Anolis sagrei: one gene and its partners. The protein of the gene in region 3 interacts with the protein of the main gene of each other region in a pairwise test. Links are inferred from orthologs where the notes say so. Each region holds a gene or a part of one and is shown on either strand. Other genes may lie near its edges.

Region 1 (6,954 bases), on a different chromosome or scaffold from region 3:
TAGACACAATATATTATTATCACAGCACAGTATTAGTATTATATATTATATTGTACTAAGCAATTATCAGTAGGAAATTAATATAATACTATTAGTATATTACAATATTATTATAAAATATTATATGGTTTTAATGTTATATATTATTATATTGTACTATACTACTATACTGCAATATTATTCAAAATATTGCATATATACTAAAATTGTGCTATGCTAATAATATAATACATTGTGTATACATAGAAGATTAATTATAATATTGTAATTATTAAAATATAATAATAATGTATATAATATCTAATAATATAATAATATAATACTAATATCTTGAATATACTACTACTGATAATAAATAACTGTATTATATGTATACACAACATATTGCTATAATAGCACAGTATTAATATTATATATTATATTCTACTATACCAGTATACTGCAATATTATTCATAATATTACATGTAATATTTCATGTATACTAGCATTGCGCTATGCTAATAATATAATATATTGTGTATACATAGAATATTAATTATAATATTATAATATAATAATACTATTATGTTAAATAGAATACTACTGATAATATATAACAATATATAATGATAATACTATTCATAAAATATAATTATAATATTATGTTGTAGTATAGTATTATTGGTTGGTAGGAACCGTCCTGAGTCCTTTTTGGGAAATAGAACGGTATTTAAATAATAATAACTATAATTATACGCTGTCAATAAAGAGCCCCCGGTGGCACAGTGGGTTAAAGCGCTGAGCTGCTGAAAGGTCAGCAATTTGGACCCAGAGAGCGGAGGGTGACCTCCCACTGTTAGTCCCAGCTTCTGCCAAACTTACAGTTCGAAAACATACAAATGTGAGTAGATGAATAGGTACCGCTTTTCTGGGAAGCTAACAGCGCACCATGCAGTCACGCTGGCCCCATGACCTTGGAGGTGTCTACGGACAATGCCGGCTCTTCAGCTTAAGAATGGAGATGAGCACCACCCGCCAGAGTCGGACAGGACTAGATGTAAGGTCAGGGGAACCTTTACCTTTTTAATTATATAATATATTGCGCTATATCATAAGTTGTAGTAAATATACTATATTATAACATCTTTATTATATTGTAATATATTATATTATAACATGCATATTAATATTGTGTTATATTATTTTAGTATTATTACATTACAATGTAAATATATTATATATATACACAATGTAATGTATAACACTAATATTGTCTATAATAACAATATATCGTGTAGACATAATATTGATAATACAATATAACACTAGTCATAATACAATATGATAAGACAAAAGAATAATATTGCAATATAGTAGTACTAATATATATAATGATAATACTGTTTTATTATTGTATATTTGTATAGTTTAAGAGATAGGACAGTATATAAAACATTATTATTATTATATGGTACCAGTAGATTAAGTAGCCCTCGGTGGCACAGCAGGTTAAACCGCTGATCTGCTGAAGTTGCTGACCAATAAGTTGGTGGGTCAAATCCAGCCTAGCAGTTCGAAAACATAGAAGTGTGAGTAGATCAATAGGTACCGCTTCTGTAGTATATAATTCTAATATTGTGCTATGCCAATAGTAAGGTAAAGGTATTCGCTTGACATTAAGTCAAATCGCACCCGACTCTGGGGTGTGGTGCTCATCTCCATTTCTAAGCTGAAGAGCCGGCGTTGTCCGTAGACACCTCCTAGGTCATGTGGCTGGCATGACTGCGTGGAGCGCCATTAACTTCCCGCCGAAGCAGTACCTATTGATCTTCTCACATTTGCATGTTTTCGAACTGCTAGGTTGGCAGAAGCTGGGGCTGACAGCGGAAGCTCATGCCGCTCCCCGGATTTGAACCTGCGACCTTTTGGTCAACGAGTTCAGCAGCTCAGCGTTTTAACCCACTGCACCACCGGGGGCATATAATAATGTAATGTTATTATATTATTATACATTATGTAATGCAATTATATTACTATATATTATATAATGTAATTATATTATTATGTAATTATATATATTGTGTACTGTAATTATATTATTATATATTATATTTATGTAATTATATTACTAGCATAGCAATATTAATATATTATCTTAATGTAATTACAGTGTTAGCATATATTAATATATTATTTTAATGTAATTATATTGTTAGTATAAGAATAATATATTTATTTATTTACTTTATTTATATACCGCTTTTCTCAGCCCTCAGGCGACTCAAAGCAGTGAATATATAATATATATAATATATTATTACCATAGTAATATTATATTAATATATTATATTAATGTAATTATATTATTACCATAGTAATATTATATTAATATATTATATTAATGTAATTATATTATTACCATAGTAATACTATATGAATATATTATATTAATGTAATTATATTATTACTATATGAATATATTATATAAACGGTTCCGGCCCAAAATACCTTGAGTACCGCATCTTGGCCTACGAGCCCACGAGGACCTTGAGATCATCCGGGGAGGCCCTTCTCTCGGTCCCGCCTGCCTCACAGGCACGCTTGGCGGGGACGAGAGAGCGGGCCTTCTCGGTGGTGGCCCCCCGGCTGTGGAACTCCCTCCCCGCTGAAATTAGACAGGCGCCTTCCCTCATGGCCTTCCGTAAGGGCTTGAAGACCTGGCTCTTCGAAAAGGCCTTCAATTAAGTGCTATGTTTTGGAATGACCACCGGAATGGACTATGACCACGAGATTGATTATGACCCTAACAAGACGAAGCGGATTTTTAGTTTAATTAGTTGTGTGTTAGTTGATGTGCGTCATGATCTTGATTTACTGTAACTGTTGTCTTTATGTTCTATGTTCTGTACACCGCCACGAGTCGCCTTCGGGCTGAGAGTGGCGGTTAACAAATGCAAATAATAAATAAATAAATAAATAAATAATAAATATTATTACCATAGTAATATATTATATTAATGTAATTATATTGTTACTATATAAATATATTATATTAATGTAATTATATTGTTACTATATGAATATATTATATTAATGTAATTATATCGTTACTATATGAATATATTATATTAATGTAATTATATTATTACTATATGAATATATTATATTAATGTAATTATATTGTTACTATATAAATATATTATATTAATGTAATTATATTGTTACTATATGAATATATTATATTAATGTAGTTATATCGTTACTATATGAATATATTATATTAATGTAATTATATTGTTACTATATGAATATATTATATTAATGTAATTATATTATTACTATATTAATATATTATATTAATGTAATTGTATTGTTACTATATTAATATATTATATTAATGTAATTATATTGTTACCATAGTAATAATTTATTATATTAATGTAATTATATTATTACTATATTAATATATTATATTAATCCAATTATATTGTTAGCATAGTAATATATTAATATATTATATTAATATATTATTACCCTAGTAATATATTATATTAATCTAATTATATTGTTAGCATAGTAATAATATATTAATATATTTAATGTAATATTGTTAAGCATAGTAATAATATTACATTGTTATTAAATGAGTAAATTGATAAAACTTATTATTTGGAGGGGGAAAAAAAACCTGGCTATAGAATGCAGTTCAATGCAATGCAGTTTATGCCCAAACTGGATTCTCTAGCAGTGTAGATCCAGCTGGATGGGAAGGAGTGCATGAGAGAGGGGGCGTGGCTTTGAGCCGAGGCGAAGGCGGTGCTTGAAAGCCCGGAGCATTCCAAAGGGGCGTGGCTTGGAGCTTGGGGGCGTGGCTTGGGGCGGCCTCTCAGAGCGAGGGGGCGTGGCTTGGGAGGGCCGAGAAGCCCGGGGAAAGGGGCGTGGCTTGGAGGCCGAGAAGCCCGGGGAAAGGGGCGTGGCTTCGACCAGCTCGCTTGCTTTTCTCTCTCTCTCTGGGCTCGCCTCCTTTGACACGTCTGCAGGGTGAGTGAGTGGCATTGGCAGCCTGTCAATCCCTCACCAAAGCGGCCATCAAACAACATAAAACACACACCACAGTCACTGGGGCTGCTGCTGCTGGGCTCATAAATTGCAGCTGGATGGGGTTTCTCCCCCCTCTTTGGCCCTCCTCCCCCTTTTGCAAAGCCGGTGTGCCATTAATTGCAATTTTTCCCGTCTTTGCAAAAGAGAGACTTTGCTTCTTTTTTTGCCCCCTTCCTTAAAAAAAAAGAATTTTATTTTTTCCAATTTTTTTTTGCACAACTTGCAAACTTTGCTGGCGATTTTCCCTCTCCTCCTCCTCTTTTTTCTTTTTTGCAAGCAAACCAGACGCTGGGAAATTTTGTGATGTGGCTTTTTTTGCATTTTTCCCCCTTCTTGCCGTTCGGAGCAACGATGTGATTTTTTTTCTCTCCAAATAATTGGATTGCAAAGCGGTTTGACTATTTTATTATTTTTTTGCAAATCTATTTTCTGGGAAAATAACACCATTTCTTCCCTCGATGAAGGAAAAAAACAAATCCAAGAGGAAGAGAGAGCGAGAAAGAACCACCGGCAACTAACTGTTGTCAACTTTGGAGCCTTTGCCTTCCCGAAATATCTACATTTTTGTGGTGCTGAAGGAGAATTGCAAGAGGGCGAAGGATGAAGAAAGAAGCTTGAGGGAGAAGAGGAAGAAGAAGAACACAAAGCCAATCGTTGGAAAGAGCTCTGCTGGGAGCTGCTGGGACTCAGCATCTTCCTCCTCCTCCTCCTCTTTCTCTTCCTCCAGATTGCTGGGACTGACTCAAGGAAAGCCGCCCAAGGATGAGCAAAGGAGCCCAGCGTTGAGAGAAGAGCTCCCAGGAAAGAAAGAAGGAAGGAAGAGAAACCCAGGAGAGGAAGCCCTGCTTTTGCCTGCTTCGATTTGCCTGGAAAGGAGCAGCCAGGACTGAGCTCGGACTTGCATCTGCCTCCTCTCCTTCTCCTCTTTCCTCTTCTTTTTATTCTTCCTTCACCTCTTCTTCCTCCTCTTCCCTCTTCATCTTCTTCCCATCTTTCCTCCTTCTCTTTTCCACCCTTTTCTCCTTCCTCTTCTCTTTAGTCTTCTCCACTTCTTCCTCCTTTCCGCCTCCTCCTTCCCTTCCTTCTCCTCTTCTTTTTAATCTTCCTCCTCTTCATTTTTCCTTTCTCTTCTTCTTTCCTCTTCTTCCTCTTCCTCCTCTTTTTCTTCCTCCTCTTTTCCATCTCCTTTTTCTTTTCCTCCTCTTCTTTTTATTCCTCCTCCTCTTCTTCCTTCTTTCCTTCCTCCACTTCATCTTCTTCTTCCTCTTCCTTCCCTTCTTCCCCTTCTTCCTCATCTTTTTATTCTTCCTCCTCTTCTTCCTTCTCTCTTTCCTCCTCCTCTTCATCTGCTTTCTCTTTTCCTTTTCTCCTCTCTTCTTTCCCTTTCTTCTTCAACCCCTTTTTATACTTCCTCCTCTTCCTCCTCTTCATCTTCTTCCTCCTCCACTTCCTCCTTCCCCTTTTCTTCCTCTTCTTTCTTCTTTCCCTTCCTTTTTCTCCCTCTTCTTTTTATTCTTCCTTCTCTCCTTCCTCCTCTCCTTCCTCCTTTCCTTCTTCTTTCCCTTCTTACCTCTTCCTCTTCTTTTGATTCTTCCTCCTCCTCCTCTCCTTCCTCTTTTCCTTCTTCTTTCCCTTCTTACCTCTTCCTCTTCTTTTGATTCTTCCTCCTCCTCCTCTCCTTCCTCTTTTTTTCTTCCTCTTCTTCCTCCTCTTGATCTTCAATACTCTCACTCCTCTTCCTCCTTCTCTTGCTTCTCATCCTCCTCCTCCTTCCTCCTCTTCATCTCCTTCTTCCTCCTCCTTCCCTTCTTCCTGATCTTCTTCCTCCTCTTTCTTCTCTTTCCTCTTCTTTTTCCTTTTCATTCACCTCTTCAGCTTCTTCTTCTTCCTCCTCCTCCTCCTCCTCCTCCTCCTCCCCATCTTCTTCTTCCCCTTCCTTCCTCCTCCTTCCTGCTCTCTTCCTGGGCCATGGACGAGCAGACGAGGATGCTGCAGACCTTGGCGGGGGTGAACCTGGCGGGGCACCCGGTTCCCGGGGGAGGGATGCCCTTGCCCCCCCCTCACGGGCACGAGGTCCCCGACGGTGGCGACGGGCGCAAGCAGGACATCGGCGACATCCTCCACCAGATCATGACCATCACCGACCAGAGCCTGGACGAGGCGCAAGCAAAGTTGGTCCCCCCCACTTCTCCAGCAGACAAACCCCCCCTTCCCTCCCCAAAAACCCAAAAGTAATACCCTTGTGTTTTAAATGTGCCTGATGCGCTTCGGTCCCCTTCTGTCTCTGTCTGTGTGCATGAGTGTGTGTATGTGTGTATATGGACCCACAAAATATGGACCCACCTGTGCGGGTTCCTTTGAGGTCAAGATTCCCATCTTATGATTAGTGTGAGTGTAGGTATGTGTGGATAAGGTGTCCTCTCCAGAATGCATGCTCAGAAGGATGGGTAGTCTGTGATGCTCAGAAGGATGGATATTCAGGTCGATGCTGTTGGTTTCATCCATTCCTCCCTTACTGTTTTGCAAGGTCCAAAATGGCCCATCGATGCACTGCTCCTTTTTCTCAGAGCCAAAAGTTGCCCACCTTTATGAGATGCAAGCAAAGTTGCTCTCCTTCAGGAAAGGAATCTGCTTCACAATACATCTCCCCATCCACTCCATCCTTGCATGTGTTTGTGTTGACACAAACATTGAGAGGGACATCTCATCCATATCTGTGGACATGAGATGTCCCTCTCCAAAAATGCATCCTTCCTTCAGCAAGGAGAAGTCCCCATAATCATGCATAAGATGGGATGTTTACCTAGCCGATCCCATTTTCCATTGCCATTTCGATATGGTCCAAAATTGTCACCTGGCAAGGGGTTGGACTA
Region 2 (7,213 bases), on a different chromosome or scaffold from region 3:
TTTCAGGAATCACTTTTTTTCAAGCATTCCAGCTTGTTCACATAGTATTCCATTTTTTTTTATTTAAAAAAATCCTTTCCCTCTTCTTTTTTTCCTTTTTCTCCCTTTCTTTTCTTGACAACCATACATAATCCCTTTTCTAAACATCAACATAGTGTACACATCTCAAGAGTTCCACCATAACACATATACCATGGAAAAGAAAGTCACACCAACAGAGCAACAAAGGATTCTTCATCATGTCTTTCTTCAGAAGGAAGTACAACTATTTGATGAAAATTAGGATTTTGTATTAGTCATGTGTCCTCTGCAAATTTGATGATCATGCCTTCTAACCCTTCCACACAGCTGAATAAAATCCCACATTTTCTGCTTTGAACTGGAATATATGGCAGTGTGGACTCAGATATCCCAGATCAAATAAGATATTGTGGGATTTTCTGCCTTGATATTCTGGGTTATATGGCTGTGTGAAAGGACCCTAACAGGCTTTGGCCTACTACTCTTTCAGTGGTGGGTTCACACTTTTGTAATCATATGTAATCATTTGTAAATCATCTATCAGACAAATGGCAAGTTGTTTAACCTCAGCAGACTGAAAGCCAAAACCAAGGTTACAACAACATCTGTTATAGAACTCCAGTATGCTGATGAAGATGTGGTCTATGCGCATTCAGAAGAAGACCTACAAGTCACTCTAAATATCTTCGCAGAAGCATACGAGAAGCTCGGCCAGTCATTGAACATTGAGAAAACTAAAGTGCTCTTTCAGCAGTCACCAGCCAACCCCTCTCCAACGTCAGAGATACAGCTTAATGGTGTAACATTAGAAAATGTTGGGTTGTTGTAGGTTTTTTCGGGCTATATGGCCATGTTCTAGAGGAATTTTCTCCTGACGTTTCGCCTGCATCAGGAGACGTCAGGAGAAAATGCCTCTAGAACAGTAGTTCTCAACCTGGGGTCCCCAGATGTTTTTGGCCTACAACTCCCAGAATTCCCAGCCAGTTTACCAGCTGTTAGGATTTCTGGGAGTTGAAGGACAAAAACATCTGGGGACTCCAGGTTGAGAACTACTTGCTCTAGAACATGGCCATATAGCCCGAAAAAACCTACAACAACCCAGTGATTCTGGCCATGAAAGCCTTCAACAATACATTAGAAAATGTTGACCATTTCCGCTACCTTGGCTGCCACCTCTCCACAAAAGTCAACATCGACACCGAAATACAACACCGCCTGAGCTCTGCGAGTGCAGCATTTTTCCGAATGAAGCAGAGAGTGTTTGAGGACCGGGACATTTATTTATTTATGTACTTTATTTGTATACCGCTGTTCTCAGCCCTTAGGCGACTCACAGCGGTTAACAACAAGAACAGCAAAAATTCAATGCTACAATAACACGGTATAAAAAACAGTTAACATCATAACACATTATACAATAATATACAATTATTAGCGCTGACATCCGTAGGGATACCAAGGTGTTTGTCTATAAAGCTATTCCCCTCCCAACCCTGCTATATGCCTGCAAAACGTGAACTGTCTACAGTCGTCACATGCAACTCCTGGAATGATTCCATCAGCGCCGACTCCGGAAAATCCTGCAAATCTCTTGGGAAGACAGGCTGGGAAATGTCAGTGTGCTGGAAGAAGCAAAGACCACCAGCATTGAAGCGATGGTCCTCTGACATCAACTCCGCTGGACCGGTCATGTTTTACAGCTTCCCAGTTGTCTGATATTTGTTATTAGCCGCCCCCCTATTTTAGATTCATACATGCACTTTAAACTGTAAGTTTAGTCTGTTTTATCTTTTTAATTTGTCTCTTTTATAACATGTTTTTAATCTGCTTTTATACCTGACCTACTTGGGAACTGCGATTCCCTTCCTTGGGCACCGGTGCCCCATTCTATACTGTGCTGGTCAAAGACCGTAATAAATCATTGATTGATTGACCTCAACTCCGCTGGACAGGCCATGTTGTCCGGATGCCTAACCACCGTCTCCCAAAGCAGTTGCTCTACTCCAAACTCAATAACGGAAAACGGAAAGTTGGAGGACAGGAAAAGAGATTGAAAGATGGGCTCAAAGCCAACCTTAAAAACTCTGGCATAGACACTGAGAATTGGGAAGCCCTGGCCCTTGAGAGCTCCAGCTGGAGGTCAGCTGTGACCAGCAGTGCTGTACAATTTGAAGAGGCACAAATGGAGGGCGAAAGAGAGAAATGTGCCAAGAGGAAGGCGCGTCAAGCCAACCCCGACCGAGACCGCCTTCCACCTGGAAACCGATGCCCTCACTGCGGAAGAAGATTCAGGTCAACAGTCACCTACGGACCCACAAGAATACTGATCATGGGATCGCCTAAGTAAGTAAGTAGTACGAGAGCAGTACGTGTGAAAAAGATCTTGGAGTCCTCGTGGACAACAAGTTAAACATGAGCCAACAATGTGATGTGGAGGCAAAAAAAGCCAATGGGATTTTGGCCTGCATCAAGAGGAGCCTAGTGTCTAGATCCAGGGAAGTCATGCTCCCCATGCTCTATTCCGCTTTGGTTAGACCACACCTGGAATATTGTGTCCAATTCTGGGCACCACAATTCAAGAGAGATATTGACAAGCTGGAATACTGTGTCCAGAGGAGGGCGACTAAAATGATCAAGGGTCTGGAGAACAAACCCTATGAGGAGTGGCTTAAGGAGCTGGGCATGTTTAGCCTGAAGAAGAGAAGGCTGAGAGGAGATATGATAGCCATGTATAAATATGTGAAAGGAAGCCACAGGGAGGAGGGAGCACGCTTCCTTTCTGCTTCCCTGGAGACTAGGACGCAATGGAACAATGGCTTCAAACTATAAGAGAGGAGATTCTATCTGAACATGAGGAAGAACTTCCTGACTGTGAGAGCCGTTCAGCAGTGGAACTCACTGCCCCAGAGTGTGGTGGAGGCTCCTTCTTTGGAAGCTTTTAAACAGGGGCTGGATGGCCATCTGTCAGGGGTGCTTTGAATGCAATATTCCTGCTTCTTGGCAGAAGGGGGGTGGACTGGATAATGGCCCAGGAGGTCTCTTCCAACTCTTAGATTCTAAGTAAGTAATCATTTGGAGGGACGGATCTAGAATACCTCTAATAGGAGGAGTGGGCCTGGTTGACACACCTCCACAACCAGATTAGGGCCCTTGATAGCAGACACCTCTGTCTTGTCTGGATTCAGTCTCAATGTTTTTTCAGTCTCAATCTGCAGCAGGCTTGGGCCAACTTGGGCCCTCCCCCTCTGATTAAACACACTCTGATTAAACATATAAATGTGGCCAAAACTCCCCGGCTCGGCTAGCTTCTTGCATTTTTCAGTTAACACACTCTGATTAAACATGTAACTGTGGCCAAAACTCCCAGGCTCAGCTAGCTTCTTCCAACTTGAGCCCTCCAGGTGTTTTGGACTCCAACTCCCAGCATTCCTAACAGCCTCAGGCCCTTTCCTTTTCCCCCTCAGGCGCTTAAGCCGCCTAAGCGGCTGAGGGAGAAAAGGAAGGGGCCTGAGGCTGTTAGGAATGCTGGGAGTTGGAGTCCAAAACACCTGGAGGGCTCAAGTTGGCCCAGGCCTATTTCACACTATCCAAAGGCCTTTTCCAAAGCCTTCCTTGCCTAGGAAAGGCCTCAAAAAGCAGGAGCCTCTTTTGAGGCCTAGTCGAGGCCTCCTCGCCCGCCCCCGGGCCCTTACCGGACTCCCCCGGCCGCTACATCCCACTCCATCCGCTTCCTCCGCCGCTTCTGCCGCCACCGGAAGTCTCCCTCAGACGAAAAAAAGGAGAGGGAGGAGCCGCAGCGAAGGCCGCTTCCGGTTTGGAAGCGTCACGTGACCCACGGAGGGTGGCACTTCCCTGTCTTCAAAGGATTACTCCTCTCAGAACTTCATTTCCCAGAAGCCTCAGCCAAGGCGGTCAATGGGAAGCTTTCTGGGAGATGGAGTCCACAAGGCCTGAAGAGGCTCAGGATTTTTTTTTGGACTTCATTTCCCAGAAGCCTCAGCCGCTTTAGTCAATGGGAAGGGCTTCTGGGAGATGGAGTCCTTAAGGAAGGAAGTGACGCCAGGAGTCCACAAAGCCTGAAGAGGCTCCCTCTCAGGATTTCTTGGACTTCATTTCCCAGAAGGCTCCGCCGCTTTGGTCAATGAAAACGGTTTATGGGAGATGTAGTCCAGAATTGCCTGAAGTCTATTTTATGGAAGGAAGTGACGCCATCGGTCAGCGACGCCGCCTCGTTTCTGCCTCCCGGCTTCCTGGCGTGGTTTCTTCGAGGTCAGGTGAGGGGCTGGAGGGCAGTGGGAGCGACTGGGCCGGACTGGGAACTACTGGGAAAAGCAGATAGCCTCAAGTGGTGGTTTGGGCCACTGAGCTAGGCCTCAGTGGGGATTGTGGCACCACTTTCAACTGCTTTGGCTCAATGCTGTGGAATCATGGGAGGTGTCGTTGGACGAGGCCTAGAATCCAAAGGGTATCAAACTGCGTTAATTCCACAGTGTAGACAAGGCCTGGGCCAACTTGGGCCCTCCAGGTGTTTTGGACTTCAATTCCCACCATTCCTAGATTTATTTATTTATCGTGTCATCCGCAACCAGACCATTGTATTACATTTCTAACACAACAAAACAAACAAACAGATTAAAAAAGCACAAATTTTGCAAACTTGGTAGTTGATTAAATGTCTTTTGACCAGTATCTGGCTCCTTGGAGTGCCTCTGGTGTTGCCGCAAGAAGGTCCTCCATTGTGCATGTGACGGGGCTCAGGGTGCATTGCAGCAGTTGGTCTCTGGTTTGCTCTTCTCCGCACTCGCATGTCGTGGATTCCACTTTTGGCCCCATTTCTTAAGGTTGGCTCTGCATCTCGTGGCGCCAGAGCGCAGTCTGTTCAGCGCCTTCCAAGTCGCCCAGTTTTCTGTGTGCTCAGGGGGGAGTCTCTCATTTGGTATCAGCCATTGATTGAGGTTCTGGGTTTGAGCCTGCCACTTTTGGGCTCTCGCTTGCTGAGGTGTTCCAGCGAGTGTCTCTGTAGATCTTAGAAAACTATTTCTAGATTTAAGTCATTGACGTGCTGGCTGATGCCCAAACAGGGGATGAGCTGGAGATGTCTCTGCCTTGGTCCTTTCACTATTGGCTGCAACTTCCCAGCGGATGTCAGGTGGTGCAATACCGGCTAAACAGTGTAATTTCTCCAGTGGTGTGGGGCGCAGACACCCTGTGATAATGCGGCATGTCTTATTAAGAGCCACATCCACTGTTTTAGTGTGGTGAGATGTGTTCCACACTGGGCATGCATACTCAGCAGCAGAGTAGCACAGCGCAAGGGCAGATGTCTTCACTGTGTCTGGTTATGATCCCCAGGTTGTGCCAGTCAGCTTTCGTATGATATTATTTCTAGCGCCCACTTTTTGCTTGATGTTCAGGCAGTGCTTCTTGTAAGTCAGAGAACGGTCCAGAGTGACTCCCAGGGATTTGGGTGCGCTGCAAGGCTCCAGTGGGATTCCTTCCCAGGTAATCATCCTCAGAGCTCGGGATGCTTTTCTGTTCTTGAAATGGGAGGCACATGTCTGTGTTTTAGATGGGTTGGGGATCAGCTGGTTTTCCCTGTAATAGACAGTAAGATATAGGGCTGTATGGAAGGGCCCTTAGACTCCTACATCCCTTTCTCTCTATCTCTGTGCATTTCTTTTTTAGTACCAAAGTGTAGCAATGTATATTTCTCCCTTTTCACTGATTCCGCCAGACATGCCTTTCTGCTTTAAGAGATTACAGTTTCCAGTCAAGATGGCATTTGGGCCAGTCACTCAAATGCTGTGGTATCAACTTACAATCACCATGCAATAATAATAATAATAATAATAATAATAATAATAATAATAATGTTACAATCCCAGGCGACAGCAGGATTGAAGAGAAACAACTGGAAAAGCTGACATGATATGAGGATTTAAACATTGAATCCAAAGACTCTGGCACAAACCAATCAAGGGTGTTCCTGTGGTGATCGGCACACTGGGTGGAGTGCTTAAAGACCTTATTTATTTTATTTATTTGGGGTGCATCTACCCCGCCCTTCTCAACCCCCTAGGGGGGACTCAGGGCAGCTTACAAAAGGCACAATTCGATGCCGACAGTTACAAAATACAATACAATATACAATACACAATTTACCATATACTATCACAGTTATAACTAATTAAAACAATCAACAGTATACTAGCATCAATAAAATATCTAGTGGTCAATGTTCACCAAATCCAAGTCCGTAAACCATTTTGCATTGTCATTGCCTTTCCTACTCTGGTCAGTATTGGTTGTCTTGTCCATCTGCCAGCTTACCCGAAAGCCTGGTCCCACATCCAGGTCTTTAGCATCCTTCTGAAGGAGAGGAGGGATGTTGATGTCCTAATTTCCCCGGGGAGTGCATTCCACAGGCGAGGGGCCACCACCGAGAAGGCCCTGTCCCTCGTCCCCACCAGTCTTGCTTGTGATAAAGGCGGGGCCGAGATCAGGGCCCCCCCAGCAGATCTTAGATTATGAGGTGGGACGTAGAAGGAGATATGTTCAGACAGGTACGCTGGGCTGGAGCCGTAAAGGGTTTTGTAGGTTAAAACCAGCACTTTGAATTGTGCTCGGAACTGGATTGGCAGCCAGTGGAGCTGACATAACCGGGGGATGGTATGCTCCCTGTATGACGCTCCGGTGAGTAGTCTGGCCGCCGCCCGTTGGACTAGTTGAAGTTTCCGAACAGTCTTCAAAGGCAACCCCACGTAGAGCATGTTGCAGTAATCTAGTCGGGATGTAACAAGAGCGTGGACCACCATGGCTAGATCCGACCTTGGCCTGCACTTAAATACAATTGGTGCTTACAAGATTACCATCTGCAAAAGGCCACCCTACTGGGATGTGTACGCATTATTTGCTGATACATCACACAGCCTAGACACTTGGGAACTGTCTGACGTGTGATCCAATACAACAGCCAGCAGAGTGTTTGCTGTAGACTCATCTTGTTGTGTTTCTAATAATAATAATAATAATAATAATAATTTGTTTGTACCCCGCCCTATCTCCTCAGGGTGGCTTCCAACATTATAACAGGCAAACATTCAATGCCTATATAAACAAAAAAAAATCCCAAAAGTTTTAAACGAAAGACAACACTAAATATTGTACAATAAACTAAAATAAACAGTTGCAT
Region 3 (7,430 bases):
TATCCCTCCATTCATCCATTCTTCCTTCCTCCATCCATCCTTCCTGCTATCCATCGATCCTTCATCTTTCCTTCCTTCCTTCATCTATCCATCTATCCATTGATCCACCCATTCTTCCTTCCTTCCCTCATCCATCCATTCATCTATCTATCTATCTATCTATCTATCTATCTATCTATCTACCTACCCATATTTTCATCTATCCCTCCATCCATCCATCCTTCATCTTTCCTTTCTTCTTTCATCCATCCATCCATATTTCATCTTTCCTTCCTTCCTACATCCATCCATTCATCTATCTTTCATCCATCCATCTGTCCATCCATTTTTCCTTCCTTTCTTCTCTCCATTCATCCACCTATCTATCTATCCATTCATCTACCCCTTCTTCCATCCCTCTATCCTTCCTTCACCCATCTGTCTACCTTTCCATCCATCCTCCCCTTCTTCCTTCCTTCCCTCCTCCGTCTCTTCTGGGGATGCTTCCTTTTTGTCACTCTTCCTCTCTTTCTCTTTCCTTCTTTCCTTCTTTCTTTCCTTCCAGGCTTGCGCTGCTTTGCCAAATTCCACCGCAACCGGCGAGTGACGCGTCGCAGGGGCCGCTGCCTGGAACCGGGCTCGGCCGACCCCGACCGGGGCTCCTTCATGGCCACCTAGGCCTCGTCCGCCCCTCCGTCCGTCCGCACAGAGGAACCAAACCACTTCAGTTCTGCTTCAGTTCTGCAGTGCGGACCCCTCGTCCCCGTCCCCCCTTTTAGGCCTGTTTCCTATTTGTAAATAAATAAAGAGATAGCTATCCTTCGCACACACCGGCTTGTCTTCCTTCTTGGCTTTCGGATCCTAAAAAAGAATTAAGTTTCTAGTCCTCATGGTTCGACATGAATATTATACTATTTATTTTTACTATATTTATTATTATTATTATCTAAATGGGAATATTATACTATTTATTATTATTATTTAATATTATTTAGAATTTAAAGGGCAGTGTTATACTATTTAGTATTATTATTTAATAGCATTTGGAATGTAAATGGAAATATTAATATTATTTATTATTATTATTAAATACTATTTAATACTATTTAGAATTTAATGGAGATATACTGTTTATTGTTAATAAATATTATTTAGAATTTAAATGGGAATTGTATACTGTAATATATTATTATTATTATTATTATTATTATTGAAATTGGAATATTATATTTATTATTATTATTAAATATTATTTAGAATTTAAATGGGAATAGTATAGTATTTATTACTATTAATTAATATCATTTAATATTTTAATGTTATTATTATTATTATTGAAATTGGAATATTGTATTATTATTAAATATTATTTAGAATTTAAATGGGAAAAGTATATTTATTATTATTATTATTTAATATTATTTAGAATTAAAAATGGGAATGGTGTACTGTTTATTATTATTATATATTATTATTATTATTTAAATATTATTTTTATTATTAAATATTATTTAGAATTTAAATGAAAATAGTATAGTATTTCTTACTATTAATTAATATCATTTAATATTTTAATATCATTATTATTATTATTTAAATGGGAATATTGTATTATTATTATTAAATATTATTTAGAATTTAAATGGGAATAGTATAGTATATATTACTATTAATATTTAATACTTAATGTCATTATTATTATTATTATTATTATTGAAATTGGAATATTCTACTATTATTATTAAGTATTATTTAGAATTTAAATGGGAATAGTATAGTATTTATTACTATTAATATTATTTAATATTTTAATGTCATTATTATTATTATTGAAATTGGAATATTATACTATTATTAAATATTATTTAGAATATAAAGGGGAATAGTATACTGTTTATTATTATTATTATTATAAATTATTATTATTGAAATTGGAATATTATATTTATTATTGTAAAGAACCTCCGCCACTGGTAATGAAGCTGCCACCCAATTGTAGAGAGACGCTACCGACTAGTGAGGAAGCGCCTAGATTTAGGAGAGAGGAGCCACTGATTTGTAAAAGGCTCTGGTATTAAAGCTCTGTTTGTGTTGTGAGGTAATTTTGGTAGAGTGGGTGCACCGAACGTAGAATTAATGGAGATGAGGCAGTTTTAAAAACCAAAGAGAACAAGTTTATTTTTAAACAAAGCGTATGGTTGCAGTATGAAGATGTTAAGCTTGGCAAATACTTGATGGTTACATGTAACTTGGTTGCGATACAATTCAGACTTTCGATGTTACAACTTATGAACTCTTGCTGTGGTGAAGCGCTTTATTAACCAGTGTTCCCTGCAATGAATGGTCTTTCTGTTTGATCTATACTTGATCAAATCACAGATCTCCAGTCTTTCTCCGACTAGCGATCCTAGCAAGCCTCTGTTAGTTCTTTCTAACTAAAGCAACTAACAAGGTTTTCCCCTTCAGCTTCCTTGTTGTTCATTCGTTCAGTCGTCTCCGACTCTTCGTGACCTCATGGACCAGCCTACGCCAGAGCTCCCTGTCGGCCGTCACCACCCCCAGCTCCCTCAAGGTCAGTCCAGTCACTTCAAGGATGCCATCCATCCATCTTGCCCTTGGTCGGCCCCTCTTCCTTTTGCCTTCCACTTTCCCCAGCATCATTGTCTTTTCTAGGCTTTCCTGTCTCCTCATGATGTGGCCAAAGTACATCAACTTTGCCTCTAGTCTCTTTCCCTCCAGTGAGCAGTCGGGCTTTATTTCCTGGAGGATGGACTGGTTGGATCTTCTCGCAGTCCAAGGCACTCTCAGCACTTTCCTCCAGCACCACAGCTCAAAAGCATCGATCTTCCTTCGCTCAGCCTTCCCTAAGGTCCAGCTGAAGAAATCTCTACTATTCACGAACACTAAAACCTGGCTCTTCACTTCTTCACTCCTCAGAGTCTAAAACTGACTCTGCTGCTCTCTCAGAGTCTTTCTCCCCTGACTGACTCTAACTGTCACTTTTTAAAACCTTTACTCTCTAAGCTCCTCCCACCTCCTCTTCTGCCTCGTTTCCATGGTAACACATTTCTCACAGCTAGGCCGCTCCAGCCTTAGGGCAACCAATGCAAACATAAATACAGTTATACGCATATTATTATAAACACTTCTGTACAATTATTATTAAATATTATTTAGAATTTAAATGGGAATAGTATACTGTTTATTATTATTATAAATTATTATTATTGAAATGGAAATATTATCCTGTTATTATTAAGTATTATTATTATTGAAATTGGAATATTATATTATATTATTATTATTATTATTATTTAGAATTTAAATGGGAATAGTATACTGTTTATTATTATATATTATTATTATTATTGAAATTGGAATATTATATTTATTTATTATTAAATATTATTTAGAATTTAAATGGGAATAGTATAGTATTTATTACTATTAATTAATATCATTTAATATTTTGATGTCATTATTATTATTATTATTGAAATTGGAATACTATATTATTATTTAACATTATTTAGAATTAAATGGGAATAGTATTCTGTTTATTATTATTATTGTAAATAATAATAATTAAAATGGGAATATTATTAAATATTTTAATGTCATTATTATTATTATTATTGAAATTGGAATATTATATTATTAAATATTATTTAGAATTTAAATGGGAACAGTATAGTATTTGTTACTATTAATTAATATCATTTAATATTTTAATGTCATCCTCATTATTATTATTAAATATTATTTAGAATTTAAATGGGAATAGTATACTGTTTATTATTATTATTATTGAAATTGGAATATTATATTTATTTATTATTAAATATTATTTAGAATTTAAATGGGACTAGTATAGTATTTGTTACTATTAATATTTAATACTTTAATGTCATTGTTATTATTATTATTGAAATGGAAATATTATATTTATTATTATTATTAAATATTATTTAGAATTTAAATGGGAGTAGTTTAGTATTTATTACGATTAATTAATATCATTTAATATTTTAATGTCATTATTATTATTATTATTATTGAAATGGGAATATTATACTATTTTATACTATATTATAATATTAAATATAATACTATTATTATTATTTAATATTATTTAGCATTATTATTATTATTATTATTATTATTATTGAAATGGGAATATTATACTATTTTTTTTATTATTATTATTATTATTATTATTTAATATTATTTAGCATGTCAGTGATGCCCTCCTTTCCTGAGGCTGAGAGAGTGTCACTCTGTCTGCACTCAAACCCAGAACCAGGGGGGGGGGCTTTAATTCGCATTAAGGTTCCCCTCCTGTCTACACTTGCAGAGTGAGTCCTCTTCCCTTGGAGGGAAGGAAGGAAGGAGTGGAGGGAGGAGTTTCTCTGCTGTGGCTTTTTTTGCTCAATTTCTGGGGAAGGAGTCATGAGGCTGGCTGTGGGGAGGAGCCCCAGGCAGAGAGAAGCAGAAGCGGAAAAGCAAAGCAAAGCAGAACCCGGGTCTGACCAGAAAGGAAAGGAAAGAAAGAGAAAGAAAGAGAAAGAAAGTCAAGAAGGAAGCCCAGGACCATGGAGGTCCCCTCTGTCAACCTCAAGGTGAGCGTGCAACAACGAGTGTGCAAAGGGGGGTCTTCTACAAGTGTCAACAGAAGAGTGAAAGGGAAGTGTGCAAAGGGGTTGCATAGAAGGGAAGGGTCAGTGGGAGAGAGTAGGGAGTGTGCACTGTGATTGTGCAAGGGGGTTGTCTACAAGGGAGGGGTCAATGGAAGTTTTAGGAGAGTGTGCACTATGGTTGTGCAAGGGGGTGTCTACAAGGGAAGGGTCAATGGAAGTTTTAGGAGAGTGTGCACTATGATTGTGCATGGAAAGGGAAGGGTCAGTGGAAGAGAGTAGGGAGTGTGCACTGTGATTGTGCAAGGGGGTTGTCTACAAGGGAGGGGTCAATGGAAGTTTTAGGAGAGTGTGCACTATGATTGTGCACAGGAAGAAAAGGGTCAATGGAAGAGAGTAGGGGAGTGTGCACTGTGATTGTGCATGGGGCTTGTCTACAAGGGAAGGGTCAATGGAAGAGTAAGGGGAGTGTGCACTGTGATTGTGCAAGGGGCTTGTCTACAAGGGAAGGGTCAATGGAAGAGTTTTAGGAGAGTGTGCACTATGATTGTGCACAGGAAGAAAAGGGTCAATGGAAGAGAGTAGGGAGTGTGCACTATGATTGTGCAAGGGGGTGTCTACAAGGGAAGAGTCAATGGAAGTTTTAGAAGAATGAGCACTATGATTGTGCACAGGAAGAAAAGGGTCAATGGAAGACAGTAGGGAGTGTGCACTGTGATTGTGCAAGGGGTTGTCTACAAGGGAGGGGTCAATGGAAGAGTTTTAGGAGAGTGTGCACTATGATTGTGCACAGGAAGAAAAGGGTCAATGGAAGACAGTAGGGAGTGTGCACTGTGATTGTGCAAGGGGGTTGTCTACAAGGGAGGGGTCAATGGAAGTTTTAGGAGAGTGTGCACTATGATTGTGCACAGGAAGAAAAGGGTCAATGGAAGAGAGTAGGGGAGTGTGCACTGTGATTGTGCATGGGGCTTGTCTACAAGGGAGGGGTCAATGGAAGAGTAAGGGGAGTGTGCACTGTGATTGTGCAAGGGGCTTGTCTACAAGGGAAGGGTCAATGGAAGAGTTTTAGGAGAGTGTGCACTATGATTGTGCACAGGAAGAAAAGGGTCAATGGAAGAGAGTAAGGGGAGTGTGCACTATGATTGTGCAAGGGGCTTGTCTACATGGGAAGGGTCAATGGAAGAGAGTAAGGGGAGTGTGCACTATGATTTGTGCACGAGGCTTGTCTACAAGGGAAGGGTCAATGGAAGAGTGTGCACTATGATTGTGCAAAGGGATTATCTACAAGAGAAGAGTTGACGGAAGTGTAAGGTGAGTGTGCACCAGGATTGTGCAAAGGGATTGCATATAAGGGAAGGCTCACAGAAGTGTGTAAATAAATATAACAACAACAACAACAACAACAATTGTGTAAAAGACCAATGAAGCACCAAGTATTTAAAAACGAGTGTGCAGGGGGGGCAGTTAATAATTGTGAGTTTTACCTAGTGCGAGGCACCAGGATGGAGGGGAAAAACCTTGGCTGTCCCATAGGGTTTTAGAGAAGTTACTTTCGCTCTCTCCATTATAAGGGGCACAGCTTGCATGTCCTTGTAAATCAATGTTACGAGGTAGGAAAAGTTTTCAAAAGTAATAACAACAATAACTATTATTATTATTATTATATTAATGGGGTCACCGTACGCCATGCAAATGCTAGAAAAGCAATTTCGAAATGGAAAAACCGAAAGCTGCCGAATGCTTGGAAATTCCTGCATTTTGCAAAATAGTCCAAAAATGGGGAAGATGCTGGCGCGGCCTTGAAATTCAACCGAAAGCGGCTCCCAAGGCATTCTTGTGATTCTCCTTTCTTTCCTTCCTCGTGTGATGCAACTTGATAAATCCCCGGCCGGCCGGCCGTGCGAATGAGCTGAAGCATCCAGAAGTGACCCAAGGAAAATAGGATGTTGTTTATGGTTTACCTTTGAGTCGCCGTGAGTCATTGCTTTCAATGAATTGCAGCGACCAAGGCAAGCCCGATTTAGTCGTAACATTTGTTTTTGGGGACATTATTGCTAGTATTAATATTATTATATTATTGTTAGATTAGATTAAATTATATTTCTTATATTTATTATTATATTATATTTCTTAGATTATTATTATATTTATTATATTCATTAATATTATATTTATTATATTATATTATACTTATTATATTATTATAATATAGTATATTATATTATTATTATATAGTATAATATAATTATATTATATTATTATATTATATTACTATATATTATATTTATTATATTTATCATCATTCTATTATTATATTTATTATCATATTAGATCAATCTATTTATTCATTAATATTGATTATATTATATTATACTTATTATATTATATTATATTATTATATAGTATAATATAATTATATTATATTATTATATTATATTACTGTATATTATATTTATTATATTTATCATCATTCTATTTATTATTATATTTATTATCATATTAGATCAATCTATGTATTATATTCATTAATATTGATTATATTATACTTATATTATTATATTATATTATATTATATTATTATATAGTATAATATAATTATATTATTATATTATATTACTGTATATTATATTTATCATCATTCTATTTATTATTATATTTATTATCATATTAGATCAATCTATTTATTATATTCATTAATATTATTTTGATTATATTATGTAATATTTATTGTATTGTACATTATAATTATTACTGTATATTATATTTATTATATACATCATCATTCTATTTATTATTGTATTTATTATCATATTAGAT
Region 4 (7,296 bases), on a different chromosome or scaffold from region 3:
ATGGGAAGAATTCAACACTATCTCTTTTCTAGTTTCCCCATTATTTTTTGCAGATGGAAAGGATAACCTTGAGCCTCTTCGCTTTGCTTGCTCTTCAAGCCCTCCACTTGTTTTTCCACTTTCATAGGGGTTCTGTGACACCTTTCCAGTATTCAGTGGCAAGGATCCATCAACTCCCTTGTTCATCTGTAAAATACAATTGGGCTTCAGTGGCCACAGTGTCCTGTACTCATGGATTCAACTTTCTATGGCTTGATTTTTTTTATCCAAAAAGCATACCTTGATTTGGTGTTTTATATAAGTACACCATTGCACTAAGTCATTTTATATAATGGTATTCAAATATCCATGGATTTTGGAATCTATGGGGTGGGGTCCTAAAACCAAATCCCAGGAGATACCAAGGGCCCACTGTAGCTATATCTTTTATTTCATCTGCCATCTACTTTTAAAAATGAACATGAGGTTTCTGCACTGACAGAAATACTGCTGAAAGCTGTGACCTTTCCTCACAACATGGGCAGGGAGGGTGAGATTAACATAAGGAATCTCTTCCCCATACTAACATGAATGGACTTCAACTTGCATGATTTTCTATCATTGGTTGTCTGGTTAGGGCAGGTGGGCATTGTAGAATGGTGTTTTGGTAGGGGGCATACATTCCATACAAAAGCAAACTACATGTATAATTTGCTTTTAATTACAATTCTGTTTTGTGTTTTATGTTATTTCATTTACACCTGTATGTTATAATTTTAAATTACTTGGTGCTGCTACTGATTTGGGTTATTTTTTGTGTATTTTATGTATTCTGTCTTGCACTGTGTTGCCTTGTAAGCCGCTCCGAGTCCTTTTGGGGAGATGGGCCAAGATACAAATAAAGTTGTTGCTGTTGTTGTTATTTTACTGACACAAAACACAGTATAACGCAGCAAATGAGATATATATGCTGGATTTCATATCATAAAATCACAAGTCTAACACTTCCCAAGCATTTAGGACTGTGTGATGTATTTTCAAATGATGTGTGCAGATCCAAGTAAGGTTGCATTTTGCAGTTGCCAGATCATGATTTTGTCAATGTTTATTGTTTTCAAATGCTGGCTGAGATTTTTTGGCACAACACTAACATTGTCCAAATCTTTAGCACTGATATCAGCATGAAGTTTGGTTTGGACAAATGTTCAGTGGCACTGAAGAAGGGAAAAGTGTGTTTTAACAGTTTCTCCTACCCATATCCAACAAAATAGGTCCTTATTAGGAATTTCCTACAGTTTACAGGAAATTCCATGGTATATTTCTGCAGGAAGTTCCTATAGAGTCTCTGAATGGTCTACACCACGATGGTAGCTTCTGACAGAAGTAATCTATTTCAATAGAGTTCATTATTATTATTTTTAATTATTTTTATTGTAATATAAGCTTTATTATACATTATTTAGTTACATGATCATATGATCACCTTCCATCTTGTTGGCCAGTTTTATTTAGAGGCAATTTGCCATTTTCAAATGTTACACCATTAAGCTGTATTTCTGGCCTGGTGAGCACTTTGGTTTTCTTGATGTTCAATGACAGGCCGAGTTTGTATGCTTCTGCAAAGGTGTTTAGAGTGGCTTGTAGGTCTTCTCCTGAATGTGCACAAACTACATAATCATCAGCATATTGGAGTTCTATAACATGTTTTTGTGACCTTGGTTTTGGCTGTCAGTCTGCTGAAGTTAAATACTTTGCCATCTGTCCGATAGATGATTTCCACTCTGGTGGGAAACTTCCCATCAATAAGATGAAGTATCATAGCAATGAAAAATGGAAAATAAGCTTGGGGCAATAGCACATCCCTGTTTGACATCTGATTCCACCTTAAATTGGTCACTTGTCAAACTACAACTCCCATGATTCCATAGCATTGAGCCAGGACAATGTCAAAGTATTAATTCTACAATGTGGATGCACACTTTTAAAAAAATGTATAGTTTTTGAGTTTTGGCATTCATAATATAGTATTTGATTTAACTGAGATTTGTAACTTTATTGTAATGGGCAACATTTTAAAATAGATATTTGACTGTTCTTTAGAACAGACATGGAATGATATGTTGAAAGACTCAGTTACTGGGTGGATCTACACCAGGGGTCCTCAAATTAAGGCCTGGGGGCTGGATATGGCCCTCCAAGGTCATTTTCCCAGCCCTCGCTGAGGGTCACCCTAAATCTGAAATGATGTCCAAAGAAGGAGCCTCCTCCACCCTCCTCTCTGCCCCAGAGTGTGGTGGAGGTTCCTTCTTTGGAGGCTTTTAAACAGAGGCTGGATGACCATCTATCGGGGGTGCTTTGAACGAAATTTTCCTACTTCTTGCCAGAAAGGGGTTGGACTGGATGGCCCACGGGGTCTCTTCTAACTCTAGGATTCTAGGATTCTATTACTTGAAAGCACACAACAACAACAACAACCCTATTTTATCAGCCCAAAGCAGGCCCATACTTCCCAATGAAAGACTTGTGTGTGTGTGTGTGTGTGTGTGACGGACGACATTTATATGCTGCCTTTCTCACCCCAAAGGAGACTCAGAGCGGCTTGCAATGTATATTACATACAATATATTATTAGCATAGTACAATATCAGCATTAAACATTGCTATATTGCACCATACCACTATATCGTAATATCATTAGTTGTCGCGACCCACAGAACACAGATTGTCTTAAACAGCAATTGAGATGCAAATCTCCTCTGCTTCTGCATCACTCCTTCTTCTTCTCCTACTACTAGTAGTAGGTATGGTGCCAGAATGCTGAGTCTCAACATTAGTAATATTACAAGTAATGTAAATATATAAATATATTATTATTATTATCATATTGCAGTACATTATATAAATTTATTTATTTATTTATTTATTTACTGCACTTGTAGACCGCCGTTCTCAGCCCTAGGGCGACTCACGGCGGTGTACAACATATAAAAACAATTTACAATAAAGGCAATATCACAAACAACAATAACATCACTATCAATGATACAATTGCACTAAATCATTCGCGACGTCTCATCATAGAATCACAATCCAATCTCGTTATCCATATTCCGTTCCAATCATCATTGCCAATTGTTGTAGCACTTAGTCAAACGCCTTCTTAAACAACCACGTCTTTAGTCTCTTGCGGAATGTCATAAGGGAGGGCGCCTGTCTGATGTCTACAGGGAGGGTGTTCCACAGCCACCACCGAGAAGGCCCTATCCCTCGTCCCCGCCAGGCGTGCCTGTGAGGCAGGCGGGATCGAGAGAAGGGCCTCCCCGGACGATCTCAAAGTCCTCGTGGGCTCATAGGCCGAGATGCGGTCAGACAGGTATTTTGGCTGTCAGTCTGCTGAGGTTAAATAGTTTGCCATCTGTCCAATAGATGATTTCCACTCTGGTGGGAAGCTTCCCATCAATAAGATGAAGTATTATCTATTATATAAGATATAATACTATATATTATATAATATATATGTGTGTGTATGATATATATATTATATAATATATAGTATTATATCTTATATAATATAAATAAAGTTTATATTTGTTAAGATTGTTCTTCATTTTAATGATTGTATTGTTTTAAATGTTTTTTGCACTACAAATGAGATATGTCCAGTGTGCATTGGAATTCATTCATGCTTTTTTCAAATTATAATCTGGCCCTCCAACAGTTTGTGGGACTGTGATCTGACCCTCTGTTTAAGCATTTTGAGGACCCCTGACCTACACTGTCGAATTAACGCAGTTCGACACGACTTTAACAGCCATGGCTCAATGCTATGGAATCATGGGAGTTGTAGTTCTACAAGGTCGTTAGCCTTCTCTGCCAGGATGCTGGTGCCTCACCAAACTACAACTCCTATGATTCCCCAGCATCGAGCCATGCCATTAATTCTACAGCATTAATTCTAAGATATAGACGCACCCACTGATGAATGCATAAGTTGTGATTTAACTGAGTTATAGTCAAAACCACGCCGCCAAACAAGCTCAGTTGACAAATCTCCAAAATGTCAAGGACAGACACTGGAAACGCTGACCTCACTGAAAGTAGGCGCTTTCTATTGGCGCAATCAGGCTCTGAAGCAAGGTCAGGCCTCCCCAACAGCCAATCAGCATCCAGGCAAAGGGGGAAAAAGTTACACGACGTTAGGAAGTACAGCCGTCTTAGCCAATAGAGGCAGAGGATGCGAACATTCTGCGCGCCTTAGCCAATCGCTTTCTAGAATTCTGGAAGCCTCCTTTTCGCTAGCCAACCGCCAAGGAAGAAACTCCTTCTCCAGCCAATGAGCTGCTAAGATAGTTGAGCTTTCGGTTCCGTAGGATTCCTGTGCGAGGAACGCTTCGGGGGCGTGAAAGGTGAGAAGGGGATGTTGATTAGTCCGAGGGTATGTCCACACTGTTGAATTAATGCAGTTTGGTACAACTTTACCTGCTCTGGTTCAGTGTTAGGGAAACATGGGAGTTGTGTTTCCTCCCCCCTCCCTTTTCTACAAGGTCTTTTGGCTTCTCTGCCACAAAGTGCTTGTGTCTCACCAAACTACACATCCCAGGATCCCCTAGCTTTGAGCCAATGTAGTTAAAGTGGTGTCAGACTACATTAACTGGACCTCGGGTACATCTACATTTGGCAGGAGGAGGGCCTGTAGGAAGGGCATGCGCAAGTACTGCAGTAAATTCATCACTCAGCCAAGCAGTTCTTATCGAACCCCAAATAGATTTCTCTCTGCCCCCCAATATTTTGTGACAACTATGAAGCGTTAAATCATAAAGATCTGCTTATCTGTGTTGTTGTGCTGCAAGATTGAGAACTGATCAGAATTGGGGGAATCTGGAGTTTGATATTTTAAAAAATGGGAAATGTTGTTGTTGTTGTTCATTCGTTCAGTCGTCTCCGACTCTTCGTGACCTCATGGACCAGCCCACGCCAGAGCTCCCTGTCGGCCGTCACCACCCCCAGCTCCCTCAAGGTCAGTCCAGTCACTTCAAGGATGCCATCCATCCATCTTGCCCTTGGTCGGCCCCTCTTCCTTTTGCCTTCCACTTTCCCCAGCATAATTGTCTTCTCTAGGCTTTCCTGTCTCCTCATGATGTGGCCAAAGTACTTCAACTTTGTCTCTAGTATCTTTCCCTCCAGTGAGCAGTCGGGCTTTACTTCCTGGAGGATGGACTGGTTGGATCTTCTCGCAGTCCAAGGCACTCTCAGCACTTTCCTCCAACACCACAGCTCAAAAGCATCGATCTTCCTTCGCTCAGCCTTCCCTAAGGTCCAGCTCTCACATCCATAGGTTACTACAGGGAATACCATGGCTTTGACTAGACGGATCTTTGTTGCCAGTCTGATGTCTCTACTCTTCACTATTTTATCGAGACTGGACATTGCTCTCCTCCCAAGAAGTAAGCGTCTTCTGATTTCCTGGCCACAGTCTGCATCTGCAGTAATCTTTGCACCTAGAAATACAAAGTCTTATGTTACTTATGGAAAAACTGACATCTGTTGAACAAAATGATGTTGTTGTTAATATAAATATTTTAATATTATGGGTATTACCCTACCTTTCCCCTCCAGAATTGAAACTAAAGGTTCATCTACACCAGGAATGGGCAAACTTGAGCCAATGTAGTTAACGTGGTGTCAGACTACATTAATTGGACCGTGGGTGCATCTACATTTGGCAGGAGGAGGGCCTGTAGGAAGTGTATGGATTGATACCGATCAGGATCGGAGAGTAGGAGGGAATCTGGAGATTGATATATTTAAAAATGGGAAATGTTACTAATGGAAAAAACTGACATCTGTTGAACAAAATGATGATGTTGTTAAATATTTTTAATATAATGGTTACTCTGCTTTTCCTCCCATAATTTATTTATCGTATCAGGAGCAAACCAAGGGTACAGTTGTAATGTATTTAAAAACACAAAGTTTAAAAACTTGGCATTATACTAAATGTCCTTTGACCAGTAGCTGGCCACTTGCAGTCTCTCTCTGGTGTTGCTATAAGAAGGTCCTCCATTGTACATGTGGCAGGGCTCATGTGTATGTCGTGGACTCCACTTTGTGGCCCCATTTCCTAAGGTTGGCTCTGCATCTCGTGATGAGAAAGCACTGTCTGTTCAGCGCCTTCCAAGTTGCCCAGTTTTCTGTGTGTCCAGGAGGGAGTTTCTCTCATTTGGTATCAGCCATGGATTGACGTTCTGGGTTTGAGCCTGCCACTTTTGGACTCTCGCTTGCTGAGGTGTTCCTGTGAGTATCTCTGTAGATCTTAGAAAACTATTTCTTGATTTAAGGCATTGGCCTGCTGGCTGATATCTGAACAGGGGATGGGCCGAGATGTCACTGCCTTGGTCCTTTCATTATTGGCTACTGCTTCCCGGCGGATGTCAGGTGATGCAATACTGGCTAAACAGTGTAATTTTTCCAGTGGTGTAGGGCGCAGACAGCCTGTGATAACCACATCCACTGTTTTAACGTGGTGAGATGTGTTCCACACTGAGCATGCATACTCAGCAGCAGAGTAGCAAAGCGCAAGTGCAGATGTCTTCACTGTATCTGGTTGTGATCCCCAGGTTGTACCAATCAGCTTTCATATGATATTATTTCTAGCACCTGCTTTTTGCTTGATATTCAGACAGTGCTTCTTGTAAGTCAGAGTACAGTCCAGGGTAGCTTCCAGGTATTTGGGTGTGCTGCAATGCTCCAGTGGGATACCTTCCCAGGTGACCCTCAGAGCTCGATATGCTTGTCAGTTCTTAAGGTGAAAAGCATATGTTTGCATTTTAGATAGATTAGGGATCAGCTGGTTTTCCCTGTAATAGGCAGTAAGGGCACCTAAAGATTTGGAAAGCTTCTGTTCAACCACCTCAGAGCTCCCTGCTTGAGCGGTGATGGCGCGATCATCAGCATAGATGAAACTCTCTGTCCCTTCTGGCAGTGGCTGGTCATTTGTGTAAATGTTGAACATTGACGGAGCAAGCACACTTCCCCGTGGCAGGCCATTCTTCTGTTTTCGCCATCTGCTTCTCTGGCTCTAGAATTCTCATAATAGTATTATAATAACTTTATTTTTGCCACCCGTCACCATCTCCCTGAAAGGACTCAGGGCGGCTTCCATGAGGTCTAAGCCCAGTCAAACAGAGTTTAAAAACACAAAATAAAATACATAGACAGACATTATAACACATAATTTAAAACATAATTCATCATACAACAACCATTAGCCGAGCATAATGGATGTTCCCAAGTTGAGAAGCGAGAGAAGGCTTCTGC

What was found.
Region 1: the proteins of AGTRAP (region 3) and PBX3 interact in a two-hybrid assay, tested with the Homo sapiens proteins (4 studies listed by BioGRID). The two-hybrid records come from large-scale screens. The link is inferred for Anolis sagrei from reciprocal best matches to the Homo sapiens genes AGTRAP and PBX3.
Region 2: the proteins of AGTRAP (region 3) and TBRG4 interact in binary tests that used the Homo sapiens proteins (3 or more experiments, as listed by UniProt). The two-hybrid records come from large-scale screens. The link is inferred for Anolis sagrei from reciprocal best matches to the Homo sapiens genes AGTRAP and TBRG4.
Region 4: the proteins of AGTRAP (region 3) and TXN2 interact in binary tests that used the Homo sapiens proteins (3 or more experiments, as listed by UniProt). The two-hybrid records come from large-scale screens. The link is inferred for Anolis sagrei from reciprocal best matches to the Homo sapiens genes AGTRAP and TXN2.

The regions. Positions count from the first base shown.
Region 1 is NC_090031.1:6,689,064-6,696,017, forward strand, and holds the start of PBX3 (pre-B-cell leukemia transcription factor 3), read left to right. Parts: upstream 1-3,934; 5' UTR 3,935-6,049; coding exon 6,050-6,312; intron 6,313-6,954. UniProt on the Homo sapiens protein: Transcriptional activator that binds the sequence 5'-ATCAATCAA-3'.
Region 2 is NC_090026.1:131,503,246-131,510,458, reverse strand, and holds the start of TBRG4 (FAST kinase domain-containing protein 4), read left to right. Parts: upstream 1-4,210; 5' UTR 4,211-4,290; exon of another isoform or gene 4,291-4,295; intron 4,296-7,213. UniProt on the Homo sapiens protein: Plays a role in processing of mitochondrial RNA precursors and in stabilization of a subset of mature mitochondrial RNA species, such as MT-CO1, MT-CO2, MT-CYB, MT-CO3, MT-ND3, MT-ND5 and MT-ATP8/6. May play a role in cell cycle progression.
Region 3 is NC_090033.1:10,225,180-10,232,609, reverse strand, and holds the start of AGTRAP (type-1 angiotensin II receptor-associated protein), read left to right. Parts: upstream 1-4,409; 5' UTR 4,410-4,571; coding exon 4,572-4,598; intron 4,599-7,430. Other genes in the region: draxin, read left to right, coding at 545-657. UniProt on the Homo sapiens protein: Appears to be a negative regulator of type-1 angiotensin II receptor-mediated signaling by regulating receptor internalization as well as mechanism of receptor desensitization such as phosphorylation.
Region 4 is NC_090025.1:166,647,959-166,655,254, forward strand, and holds the start of TXN2 (thioredoxin, mitochondrial), read left to right. Parts: upstream 1-4,272; 5' UTR 4,273-4,385; intron 4,386-7,296.